Linked DNA regions of Drosophila melanogaster. The gene in region 1 interacts genetically with each later gene. Each region holds a gene or a part of one and is shown on either strand. Other genes may lie near its edges.

What was found.
Region 2: of lilli (region 1) and phyl, changing one suppresses a phenotype caused by changing the other (phenotypic suppression), as found in Drosophila melanogaster (one study listed by BioGRID).

What each region holds. Positions count from the first base shown.
Region 1 is NT_033779.5:2,881,779-2,887,658, forward strand, and holds the start of lilli (lilliputian), read left to right. Parts: upstream 1-4,150; 5' UTR 4,151-4,800; intron 4,801-5,880. Other genes in the region: NTPase, read right to left, coding at 1-1,055, 3,215-3,244. UniProt on the Drosophila melanogaster protein: Has a role in transcriptional regulation. Acts in parallel with the Ras/MAPK and the PI3K/PKB pathways in the control of cell identity and cellular growth.
Region 2 is NT_033778.4:14,430,738-14,438,278, reverse strand, and holds the start of phyl (phyllopod), read left to right. Parts: upstream 1-5,941; 5' UTR 5,942-6,185; coding exon 6,186-6,371; intron 6,372-7,541. Other genes in the region: L (lobe), read right to left, coding at 2,119-2,161. UniProt on the Drosophila melanogaster protein: Essential adapter component of E3 ubiquitin ligase complexes; involved in R7 photoreceptor cell differentiation, embryonic nervous system, external sensory organ development and specification of particular muscles.

The sequences.
Region 1 (5,880 bases):
TTCACGCAGACGCTCTCCAGCACCGTATCCTCCTTCTTGTAGCCGTGCGTGAAGACAGCATGGCGTGCAGCCATTAGACCCAGTCCCAGATAGCTGTGCGTGAAGACGTTGATCTTCTTGCTGGACGTGACCACCTCGTGCATGTACTTATCGTACACGGGCACCTGGTCCGGATCCGTTGGCGAGAAGGTTACCTGCGTGCTACCGCCGCCCAAGTCCAAGGCAGCTGCCTGGTTCGTCTTGGACAGGCGGCCCAGCAGGAAGTTCACGGTAAACCAGCTGAAGATGCCCTCGTCCGTGCCGTCCATGATCTCCACGGCATCCATATCCACACTAAACTCGGACTTGGCGAAGAGATCTCGGACGGCATTTAGAATGTTTTCCGCCTTGCTGGCGGGCAGGAGTCTCAGGCCGGCGGTCGCTTTCAGAACCAGCGGTGTGGAAGACCAGTGCTCCTTGGGTATGAAGGCGCGGGCCTCGTCCAGCAGCAGTTTGATGGAGTGGGCACCCTCGGCGGGATTATCCGCGAAGGAGCTCAGACCCGGCTTGCGCTCCTTGAACAGCTCCTCGTACAGCACCAGTTTGTTGTCGATGAAGCTGCGATTGAACTTGTAGGCCAGCACACGGCTGCCCGTCGATCCGGCATCGATGATGGCCGCATACTGCACCTTGCTGTAGCCAAACTTGGAGGCCAAACGGGCCAGATACGGACTGGCGTTCTCGGAGACGAAGCCTGCATCGTTGTCAGTCGTTGGTTTATTGGCGATGGGTTTTTTAGTGATAACACGGCGAACGGGTGGCGCAAAATGGGGTTCCACGTGGGCGTAGGGCACGGTAACAGTGGGAAAATCAGAGGTTTTCGTTAGTACAACTTTGGGCACTTCGTCTTTTACATAATACAAATGGTACACACCAAAGACAAAGAGCAGGAGGATGACGGAGATGATCAGGCACAGGAAGGAGATCTTGAGGCCGCTGGGCCCGCGGTTTCCACCACTGCTGGCATTTGGTGATCCGCTACTTTTCCGCCGCGGTGGCTTCTCATCCGTGGCCAGCTGAAAAGGCGAAAGACAAATTAGTTTTGTGACCGACTACTCAGTTATTTGATGGTGTTTTTCTTGGCCAAGTTCATCGGGTCTACCAGCTTATATTCGTATTTCATGGTTCGTTCCGTTGCCTCTGCTGGCTCCACATTTATGCATGGCCGGTTTCTTGGTCGGAACACATTTCAGTTGTTTGCTGCTCAAATATTAACACGCTGGCTGTTTGCTATCTCTGCGAATGTCAATGAATTTCATTTCTTCTCTTGTTTTCGGTCTATTTTACGGGCTTTATCGTTAACATGTGCCAGGGCTGCAGAGTCCGTGGCTCATCGATAACGTTAACCAGGGTTGGGCCACACTTTTGGCAACGGTAATTTAGGGCAGTTGGTAAACAGAAAACCGTTACTTCAAACAAAATAACCTTTTAAAGCGCATTACTTGGATATTTCCACGATTAGTATATATTATTGTTCTACCTAACTTTTCGCTAGTTTATATTAGTTCTTATAAGAACAAACGATAAACACTAAAAATAGTAAAAAATGCGTTTCTATGGCTTTAGCTATGGCTATTATTAATTTTCTTAAAATATAAAGTCATGCCAAATTACACATTTTCGCTGAGGAAGTCAGCGAAGCCAGTGGCCATTCGACTAGAATCTTATCGCGTAGCTTTCTGGGCGATATGACAGTGATAAGACGCAATCAGTTTTCGGGGGCGATTGGCGCGTCTGGGCACCACTGGCAACAATCATAAGTGGGGCAGGCCACGAAGCGATCTTTTAGCTTGATCAAATATTAAAGTTCCCAAACAAACCTGATGAAATTCCCATTGTTTAAACAAATGTTACGCTGTTGGTAAGCGACTGACGCAAAAAAAAAATAGTTAAAGCCAATGAAAAGTAGTCAAACAAAGCACAAATAGCGAGTATATATAATTAAGCAGTAATGGAGTTGACAGGTAGATGGTATATATATCTATATCTATACAATCAAGTACACCCATTAGTTTCGAATACACATACTACTTCCCAATAATTACACTGTTGGCATAAGTGAAACTCATTAAACATTCAGGGTGTGAACTTAACGCATATGTTTCCAGGCGCACGCTACTGCAATCAATAAATCTACTGATAAAAGGCGCCTTTTGTGCCGATCTAGTGACTAAGAAGCCTGCTCCCCATTTATAAAGGGGAATACTTTAATCGGTTCTATAGATAACTCATTTATTTCGAAGCCGAACACTATTTTGCATCAGCTGAAAAGTAAATCTTAAGTCTTAAAGAACCCTAATTGATAAATGTATCTTGAAATATATAAATATGACGCACAAAATGAGTTGAAAGATACAAACATTGAAAGCTGGTAGAAGTGTGCTATCTAGAAAATGCTGATAAGTTTAGACACAGATGTTGTGAAAACAACAAATATCGAGTTAGATACAAAAGTATCTAGTATATATTGTAGTACCGAGTACACGTAGGTACACGAGGGTTAAGGCCACGTTAGCAGCCAGGCACTATCTGCACTCACTTGCAACCGGTTCCGGTTTGCCCGCATCCTGTTCTCCACCCACTTGCGATGCAAATCAGTCGAAACTATGCGATCCAATCGCCCCCGAAATGGGACACTCTATGTGTACCTGTGATCTTTGGGTTCCGATGCGAGAAAGCGATTGCAAAAGTTGTCTAGCGAGATTCGGTCGAAACGGCTGCCAACTGAATCGTTGGACTTTTCTATGCTTTTTTTTTATCAGCCCCCCCTAATGACCTTGCAAATGAGAAAGTTCCTGCTGACTGGTCACCCTAATGCGAATACGAAAATATTTCAAAATAAACCGGCCGGCATTAAGATGTTGATAGAAAACCCACTAGTCATCTCTTTCGTAACTAAAATCAAAATTTGCATAATTGTTAACAAAAGCGTGCTTAGCGGCCATTGCGTATCTATATTTAAATGTCTTGTAAACATACATTTTCAGATACAAATTGGCACAATCGAATAGAATAGAACTTGAAACGATTATTCTGCGAGTCATTTGATGTTTTACTTCCGCGTCAAAAGAGCAGCAATTTGAGGAATTCGCATGTGTGCGTGTGTGTGTGAGAGAGCGCCATGAAATTGGCATTAAATTTGTGCTGTGGATTGCCCTTTTGACCTTTTCCTTACTTTTCTCTTTCGCACATCGGTGTTCGTCATTCTGTCGTCGTTACTTTTCACTTAAATTATGTAAATACGCGAGCGTTTGTTTATTTCGGATCGATTGCTGCCGATCGCCGAGCGGAACGCACTAATGTCGATCTAATCTAATGATGGCCGCGCCCGCCGAATGATAAACTCTGATCAGGAAGCCAACGCGCACGGAATGGCGTCTTGGAATCAACTAAAAACATTTATTTACCACCTGCTCATTTATATGCTGCAGCCCTATCAGCTGTTCGCTGCGGCGCCCACTATCAGCGCATACGGCCACACTGCGGGGGCGGCAGGGATGCCAAAAATTGATGTGGATAACATAGAAATATTTAAAATTGTGAAATTATTCGATTTTGATAAGTATACTTCTTAACGGAATTCTGATAACAGGTGCAGAAATCCAGTGCATAGTACTATAATTGACATATATTAGAGGATTCGTTGTGCCTTAATCCGCTATTTAAATCAATAAGGATTTATCATAGATTCATTCGTAGATTCTTATCATTATTTTGTACCGACAAATAAGATAATTGGATTCAATAGATATTCATTCAAGCTAAGTGTAGATTAGATTATATAGGTATATCATATTTCCCATTAAGATACTTGCCCATTCCAAAATTGGGTTTTCTGGATTAGACATTGAGATAAGAAACCAGTGTTGAAAACCAACACTGAAAACTGCTTATGAATTTTCAAAAACGCTCGGATAAACACATTGCTAGATAAAACTCAGATCGTTAGACAAACCGGTTCCAAAAATCATTCATTAAGTAAGAGAAAATCGAAATTTTTAGCAAATATGCGGTACCGACATTTTCCAGAACTGGACCTATCGTCGCACAGCTGATCGCCCGCCAATCAGCTGGGCGATAGTTGCCGTATCGATAGCCGACCCATCGATAACGATATGTGTATTTTCCTGCTCTCTCTGCACCAACACAAAACACGCAACTAAATTTCGGTTAAAAACCCCTACTAAAAACAATGCAATCGAAACGGAACCATATAAAGTGATTAAATGGCCAACGCGGCGGAGGCGAAATGCGAGCGCAGTGCATTTTCCGGATGAAATCGCGTTTTCGGGGAAACTTACACAAACATTTTTTTCGTAAGCGCTCTCATGTTGTCTCTTTCGCACAGCAGAATTACTAGTTGCTGTGTGTGTGCGTGCGTGCGTTTGTGTGTGCCGTATGCCGTGTGCCAGTGTGTGCGTGCGTGTGAGTGTGAGTGTGAGTGACTTTGACTGCAGTTCGCGTACGTTTTTTATTAATACACCACATAACAACAATCACAACAACAACAAACAGTAATGGAAACTAAACATATTTAATGCGAGGAGACCAGAAATCGTCTAAAACGGCAAGGCTTTATCACCATCGCCACCACCACCAACAGCACAGCAACAACAACAAATTACTACAGCATATATGCTAGTGTGCGTAAACGTATTTGTGTTAAATAATGTTTAAACTGGCATTTCTGATTTCGCACACAAAACAATATTAAGTTGTAGTCACCAGCAGAGAGGAGCAATTGAAGCAAACGAAAAAGAGGTAAGTGCAAAAAGCAGACAATTGTTATAAACAAAATGTGTCAAAAGTTCGTCATGTCGTCGCGCGCTCTCTCTCTCTTTTTTGCTCGTTCTCCCTCTCTCTCTCCGCTCTGTCCTTCTCTCTCCCGCCACGCCGAAAAGAAATTAATTTTGATATTTTTTCCCTGCTTTTTTGTTGCACTCTCTCGCTCTCGCAAACTTTTAATTTTAATTTGCTATGCGCAGCGAATTCGCGCGCAAAGGCAACAAAAAAAGAGGCAATGCAAAGGCAGCAGCAACAACAATACAGGCAAAGTAATAAACGTCAAAATGCCAGACGGACAATTCCTCTCTCATGCGCTCTTTCCGTCGCTGTGTGCGTGCGTGTGTGTGTGTGTGTTTGGGTTTGCTAGCTTTTTGTTTTTATCAATTATTTAGGTAGGTGTTTGCCTTAAAAAGAATAACTGAAACGCAGAAAAATACCAATACTTGTATACTCCAAGTAAAAAAGGGTGAAAGGACACTATCGGCTCAACAAGGAGAATGCAAATGCTATAAGTAGGAGGGGGAGAGAGAGTCACACGCACACACACCTCAAGCAATTCTGATAAGAACAATTGTTATTTGTTTGAAAGCCGACATTCCAATAGTCCACGTCCATTCGCCCAAACGTTGAAAATAATCGACAAACTTAAATACTATTGTGTTTGTTCGCGAACCCAGAGATGCTTTGCCAACTGATGAAATAAATATGGCCAATGCCGTCAGAATAAAGCGAAAATACCATTGTGGTTGGAATTCTCTTAATGTTAACATTGATTACTCCATTTTCTACTTTCTAAACAATGTATTGTATTCAATATTTATATTGATAATATCGAAATAGATAATTGCAGTATTTAATTGTTTTTGTACTTCGAATTAGAAATATGACTTTAATCACGTACGCAACAACCCATGCTTTCTTCCTAAGAAATGACAAAATAATAGTCTCCACGAAATAGGAGAACTCCATACTCAAAATATAAGCTTCAGAAGTTTATAGCCTAAAGCATTTTCCTAAACAAACAGCTTTATAGAAGAGTCTTCAATGAAAAAATAA
Region 2 (7,541 bases), on another chromosome or scaffold:
AACAATTCTATAATCTAAAATCTTTAAATTAATAGAGACATTCCTAATTTATATTAAATAGTTTTTAGCAACAAATAAAATACCTCCTATATACCTTTGTATATAGTTATATTTCTGTAATGGACCAAAATTTGTATAGGTAAGTTACATATTTTTGATAGGTGTTCAAAAAGCTTGATAAAAAAAACAAATCGAAAAATTTCCATATATTTGGGCTCTTATTTTTTGCAATAGATGATGTGGGTATGTTGTTGTTTGATTGTCAATGAAAATAGCTGAGCTTGTGAGCCACCTACATATATGTATGTTCGGCATATACATACATACATATGTATATATAAATCGGGGAATATACCTAGAGATATGTAGTGGTAAACTGGCTGGCAACGCCGTCAACAAATGAAAACTCCCCAGGGAGTTGGCGCATGTTTGTTGCTGTTGCTACCGTTGGATGTTGCTGCTGCCTCGTTGCCCGGCGCTTTTCTCGAGGGGATTGGCCAGAGAGCCGTTGCCGACTCCCCTGAGAAATACATGGCAATGGGTTTTCTGTGTTTTGTGCTTTTTTCGCGCGCCCCTCGCCGGGCACATTGGTGCGACAGAGATGGCTGCAAAAAGAGCAAGCCAAAGTTCGCTTTTTTATACGTTGGGGAAATTTTCATGCCCCAGCATGAGGATATCTCTCTCTGTCTCTCGCTCTCTCTCTCTCCCTCTACCGCCCGTCTCTGTGTGTGTGTGTGTGAGTTAGTTTGTGTGTGCGCCAGTTGTCCTTGGGGGCCTCAGATCCCCCCTCAGCTGGCCACCCACAAAACCACCCACTTACACCCACCAGCCCACCTCCACCTCCACCTCCACATGCACATGTGTGCATTGGATTTATTGTCAATTTTATTTGTTATCATTGTTGTTGCTGCCGCTGCTGCGGCTGCTGCTTCTGCTTTTGCTCTGCTGTTATTTACACTGACACAATTTGGAATTGTATTAAAAATTAACGGCACTTTGGTTGCCTTGGCTTGGCCCGGCCGCAGAACGGAAAATGGAACCGAATCGAAAAACTGCACCGCACTCCCAGCCAGATCACAAAAATAACCAAACGGCAATACTGCGTTTTGGTCAACTAGCTTTTCATGTCCTTCAACATGTTGTCCTTGGGCCAAAATCTATGCCTAACACTTTAGGATATTCTAACTAAAAATGGATTCTTCTTCAATACGCGTAAATGTTATTGAACATAAACTGAACCAATTAACAAGAAAAAATGCAAATTAATCACCAAAGTTGACATCTTAATTAAAATCTCAGAAAGGAAATAATCTATCAAATAATATATGTAAACTTGACTAATTTATTCTTCCAATAATATTTTATTTATCCACAATATTTTTTATTTATATCAACCAAGAAAGCGTATCCCCCATTCGTCATGGAGCCGTTTTTGTTAACCATTTACTTGTTGGTTGACCAGAACACTCAATGTTTCAACCTCATACTGGGTGGGTTTGTTTGGGTTTCGGGGGTCTCTTGGCCCCCAGAGCACCTGCCTCGTCCCCGCCTTGCCCCGACCCCTCCAGCCGACCGCCCAGCCGGGTCCCAACCAGGGCTCCCTCATCCACTATGCCCTCCCCCCCTCCCCCCTCTTTGGTCGCTCTCTATCACTGACAGTTAGGTGTGTTGATCCCTGGGGATTGACCAATGCCTGCAAGCTGCTGGGCTGCAGCCGGTTTGGGTACGGAATGGGATTGGGATGGTACGGCATGGTATGCTCTGGCCGGGAATCGGTAGTCGAAACTGGAGGGCAGGGGAAATGGGCAATAGCCCAACCGGACCGGATTGTGGGCCATAGCAGGCCGAGGCCATTTGCATTTGTCACATTTTGCGGTCCCGCGAGCAAAGTTTGGCAGAGTAATGTTGTGTCCACTCCACCCCTCCCCCCCACCTTTGGGGTTTATCAAAGCAAATCAATCAGATGCACGCACACACAAACAGAGACAAACACACGGAGTACACTCGTAAGCAGTGGGACATGCTGGAACACACTCAGGATATGGAAATGGAGACCATGTCAGTTGGTGGCCACCTGGGGATTCGAGTCCTGCCACTGACCACTGGCGCCCAACTTACGTTTGAGACAGGCGCGCGGCTTGGCCTGTTTGCGTCGGGACATGGCCACGTTGGCTATTTAAATCACTGTTTCCGTTTCCGTTTATAAAGCTGCTTTAGTTTGATTTGACTTGATTTGATTTGATTTGGCTTGAGTGGGCCTAGCTCGCCGTGCGGCTTCCGTTTCGCGCCAAAGCGATTTGTTTTGGTTTTTTGTGTCACAGCCAGCGAGTCCTGGCAAACGCAGCGAATATCCTTGTGCCTTGAGCGTCGGCAACTGACTGAATGCTGGCCCAAAAAAGGTGGCATCAAAACAGAAGCTCTTAAAACAAAATGGTATGTCCACAGCGCAGTCGCGAACAATAAAAGAGCGACAGAGATTGGCAGAGAGAGCAATCAGATGCGGAGAGAGCAGGATGAGGTGGTAGAACAGAGCCACCCAAGAACTCCCAGACATCCAAGCAGTGAACCATCTATCAGTGCTGAACTTATTCCCCTGGGGGTTGCTTCGCTTCCATCCCCTAGAGAATACCGGCGCGGCACCAATCACGAGCGTTTCTGGGTGCCTTTTGAAGAGCCAGGGAACCCGGTAGCCCGGTAGCCCAGCAGCCCGGGAACCCATGCCGACTGCTCACAGTGTGATAGATTCTTCTATTTTGTTGCCCTCCCCGCTCGCCTGTTGCAATTATAAAGTCAAGTCAATTATTTTATAGCCGACTTTCGCACGTGCGTATGGGGGGTCCATCAAAAGGGGCGCGATCTCGAGGCGATTTCGATTCTCCCAAGGTGCCCTGCGAATTGCAGTTTCCACTTGGTTTCTCAGCAGCGGGATAACCAACGCACACCGCTCAGCTCCTTGGTGCACCGTGAGAAACGTGTCCAGAAGCAGAAATTCTAGTGCTTTGGCAGCGGGTGACGACGACATGGGCAATGGATCCTTTGTTGTGCCATCCACTCATCCATATTTCAGGAGTACCACACGCTTGGGATACGAAAGGTGATGTGGTGAGACTCATTAAAGGCAAAGATTGGTATGGAATGAATTAAGGAATGATTTAAAGTTGTGCTAAAGACAAAGTAAGATAAACCAACTGTGAATCCAGAATGTGTTAGAGAATGAATTTAAATTCTGTTTTAGTTAGAGATCAAACTGTGACCTTGAAATCGTTCTTATGTTCTTATGTTATATATTTATATATCTTTTGTTACTTCGCCGTTTGTTGTTTAAAGTATACGTTTTCATATGGGGACTTAACGTTGCACATATTACTAAATTGTTTAGAAAAATTCTTGGAAATTAGTGGTATACATTAAACCTCAAAATTGGAAAATAAAACTTATTTTCCCAAGCGGATTATTTGTTGGCAAATTGTGAGTGCACTCACCACTGGAGTGGTGTTTTTACATATTTTTTTCATTTTTTTTTTACATTACATTTTAAGAACTTGGAAGCATATAAAGGTATATTATTGCACATAGTACAGAAATAGTAAGACAGCTGAACGAATTATATATTTTGATGAAGATGAATTAGTAATACTATTGTATTGGATATAACATTAAAATATATTTAATCGCTTACAACGATATATCTTTTACATATTTCAATATTTATTGGATATTCAGGATTCTAAATAATAGATCTTGTGGATGGTTTTCGCTGAATGCGAACAAAAGAAATTCAATTACTGACCAAAATTATGCTAGACCGATTGAATTCATTTTTCGCCGCCGCAATTCGCCTTGCTTTGAATGTTAGGCGCCACCTACAGTAATTTCTTGAAAACTGTTTGGTAGCGACTGGCGCTGTGACTCCATAGATGTCGCTGGTGTGACACTTAAAGGCAACGGTATGTTTAAAATAAATATATTTCCTCTTAAAGTCAAATTGCATAAGAGATTAAAAAAATTTGATGTACAATTAATAAACAAACAATGGCGTAATAATTGTTTTTAGACGGTACCCTTTAGTTTTGCGTAGTGTAGTTTAGCTTTAATAGTGTTTAATTGCGTAGTCAAAGTCGAAGTAAAATAAATAAGAGCAGTGATTTAAAAATGGGAATACAAAAAACCGAATTTTTTCAAATGCACCAAAACCATTTGTTTAAACATATTGATAGGATCACAATAGAGATCTTGATAATAAATATTTAAATGCTTAACCATAAATCTCCAAAAAAAACTTCGTTATCCCATTCTTATCCTCGATATCTCATCCTGGCACCTTGGGCACTTCCTCTCTTGGGATCCCAGAGATCTACATGAAAATTTGATACGCATATGTCGCGGAAATCGATCGATCGAGGGTCCAGTTCCGGATACATTATTCGTTCGCCACGCAACTCCCTCGCCTGATTCCATTCATGTATTCATTCATCAGAGGCCTCGATTGCGCTTGGAACCTCCGTGCCCCATACTTACTCCTTACTCCCTACTGCCTACTCCTTACTCCCTGCTCCTTACTCCATTGTTTACTATCGTCGAAGATGCGTAGTAAAAGTAGCGGCGAGCAGCGCCAGTTAACCCAGTGTCTGCGATCTGAGAAGATCGTCGCAAATCGGAGGAGCGGACGAAGAAGGTTCGGACGAAAGAAAAAAGGAGAAGAAACATCTGTCGCCACGAAGAAATCCGGTTGCAAGCTGCAACACCACCGGCTCAAAATGAGCAACAACACAGAGAACATATGATTGAACTGCCCGAATGCCGCATAAAAATGGGTAAAAAACGAAAAATCGAAACGCACCTTTTGTGTTTTTGTTTTTTTTTTTTTTGTTTTTGGAGCAGCTGCCGTTGCTGTCGGTGCTTCGTCGCCGTTGCGGAGGATCGACGGGTTTGGGGGGAGCACCAGACTCTGCACTCGGCAGCCTGTTGATGAGCCCACAATGCGCACATGCTGCAAGCTATTCGTGCCGCGGATGATATGGGCTCTGTGTTGAGCCGGCGGGTCCTCCATAATGATAAGTGCCCGTCGAGGAGGCCGTCCACATTAAATTCGGCGTTTGTCGCTCAATGGCAGCTGCCACCGATTCCTTCGGCGGCTTAAGCAAATCCAAAGGACTGGACGCGAGGGACGAGCTTGAGTGTCGAAAGTTCAGATAGGTCAAGTTGTCAAAATATTCGGAGACAGTTGTCGGTGCTTTTCGATTCATTCATAAAATTTGCGAGGCTCTGATCGCTGAATGAATTTGGCAATTCGCCTTGCAAGGCAATAAAATTATAAAATAAGGTTTATCAGCAGGTTAAGAATCATTAACATTGTTATTCCTTATTTTTTATAAATATTTATTTGGCATAAAAGTATATCAGTCATCAGAATTTTATTCGTGGTTAAATTGTCAAACTTCTGCTGCATATTTCCACTGGCACTGCCTTTTGTTATCCGTTTCCTGTTTCAGAATTCGCACTAGTCATCCTAGCAGTCAACATCCCTTTTGGCGCCCTTAAATGTGAACATATGCCGCCTGTTTGTTTTGTTTCGGCTATGTCACCCTTATGGTTGCTTTTTCTCTCACTGCAATATTGGGTTATATGGTACATGTTTTCATTTTTCAAAAACACCAGGCTTAATCTGAGCCCAAAAAATTGCATTTGAGTATAAAAATTATACAAAAATAAATAAATATTTTTAAATTTTGTTTTATATTTGAAAATATATATATGATTTGAAAATATGATATATTTTGCATGACTTTTATTTCATTAGTGTCTAGCTTATCCTTTATCTCTTATTTTTCCCATCGATCCGACAACGCTCGCCACTCTCGCATGTCATTTGCCAGATGTGGCAGCCCGCAGGCACAAATTTTGAAAGTGGTGCCCAGAATGCGATGAGGACAAGCAAGGCTCATTCGAAATTTGTGCGTGCAACGCGAAGGACGTGCCGCTCCGTAGCTCGCTGTCCCGCTCTCGCTCTCCCCGCTCTCTCGCTCTGTCGCACGCGTTCGCCGCTTGGCATTTGTTGTTTGCCACATTTTCGCGGCACCCCAAAAAATCGTGAAAATACAAATACAATACGAGTGCGAAAGTCGAATATCGGCAGAAGTTAGTGCGACCTTTGGTGACGTCAGAGGCTGGGAAAAATCGCCAGGATGTCTACCAATCAGCAGCAGCAGGCGAATCCTTCGGCGGCCGTTGCCGCACCCGCCGCCTCCTCGGAATACCTGAAACGCACCTGCCTCATCTGCGGCTGCCACACCAACCAGACGATCAATATCTACGAGCCCCGCTCCGGACCCAATATCGTTCAGCTAATCCAGGCGAAATTCAAGTTTCAGGTATGGATTTTTCCCAACTTAGAGCAAAAAAAATAAAAACTCAGTTAGGCGGGGAACGTATAAAAATCGATATTGGGGCAACTCGGCGGATGAGTCATGCAACGAAGGAACGTCCTTCGGACAAAGTTTTCCCTCTGCGCGTGTATCCGTGTGTGTTTTTTTTTTTGGGTTAAAAGGGGATGAACTTCGCTGGGCGGAAAATGGGAAAATGGGTGGCACTTCTATAGGCAGGTACAGGTAACTCCCTCACAGCAGCCCACTGGGAAAAAAAGAGTGGCAAGCTATTTGATGATTGATTTCGAGCGCAGTTTTCTAATATTTTTAAGTGATTATTTGCAAAGAACTAAGGTCTCGGAATTAGTAGTTCTATCACAAACTACTTTCTTAATGAAAATTTCAAAATCCTTTATCCCTATTAGTTTTGTGGTATGCCCACCTTTTCCTGTGCCCTTTAAACTGCATATCCTGTCGCCGAGCAGATGATGCATTTCCCCGACAACCTTTGGTAATTGGACACTTTGCATATGTGCCAGTGCCACAGAGCCGCCACTTAGTTCGATTCCTTTCCCATAATTTTTAACAGCTTGTTCTAATATGCGAGCAGTGCGGTGTGTGTGTGTGTGGGAAATGCGACAGCGGAAGATGGCCAGGGAAATCGATCCTGGCTGAAGATCCTGGGCTTGTTTTTCTGTGGAAGTGAGTTTCGGGTCTCGGATTACAGGCACTCCTCCTCACTCAAATGACTACCCATGACTACCTGTACCGGCGGCGCACACATAAACCTGCTCGAAAGGGCAGATGTGCTGTGGATTTGCCGAGATTGCTCCAATTTCTGCGGGCAGTGAACGAACCCGGTGTGTTCGTTCTCTTCGTTTCCATATCCCAAAACGACAGCTGTATTTGCCGGTCGGCACTCAAAATCCAACCCATCGGGGTTTCTGGATCCTCTGCTGCTGCTGCTGCTGCTTCTTTATCAGCTCTTCATGGTCTCGAGTGAGTTTTTTCGCATATCAACTATTGAACTCGGATACCTGGATGCGAGTTCACAGTTTATTGTTTGTGAGACGAAGGGATTTTCCCCAGCAGCATTGGTGGTTGAACCCTTGGAGAATGCCAAATATCTTTGGATAGAAATTCCGGTTTCTTAAGCTGCGCAAATCCAAACAAAGG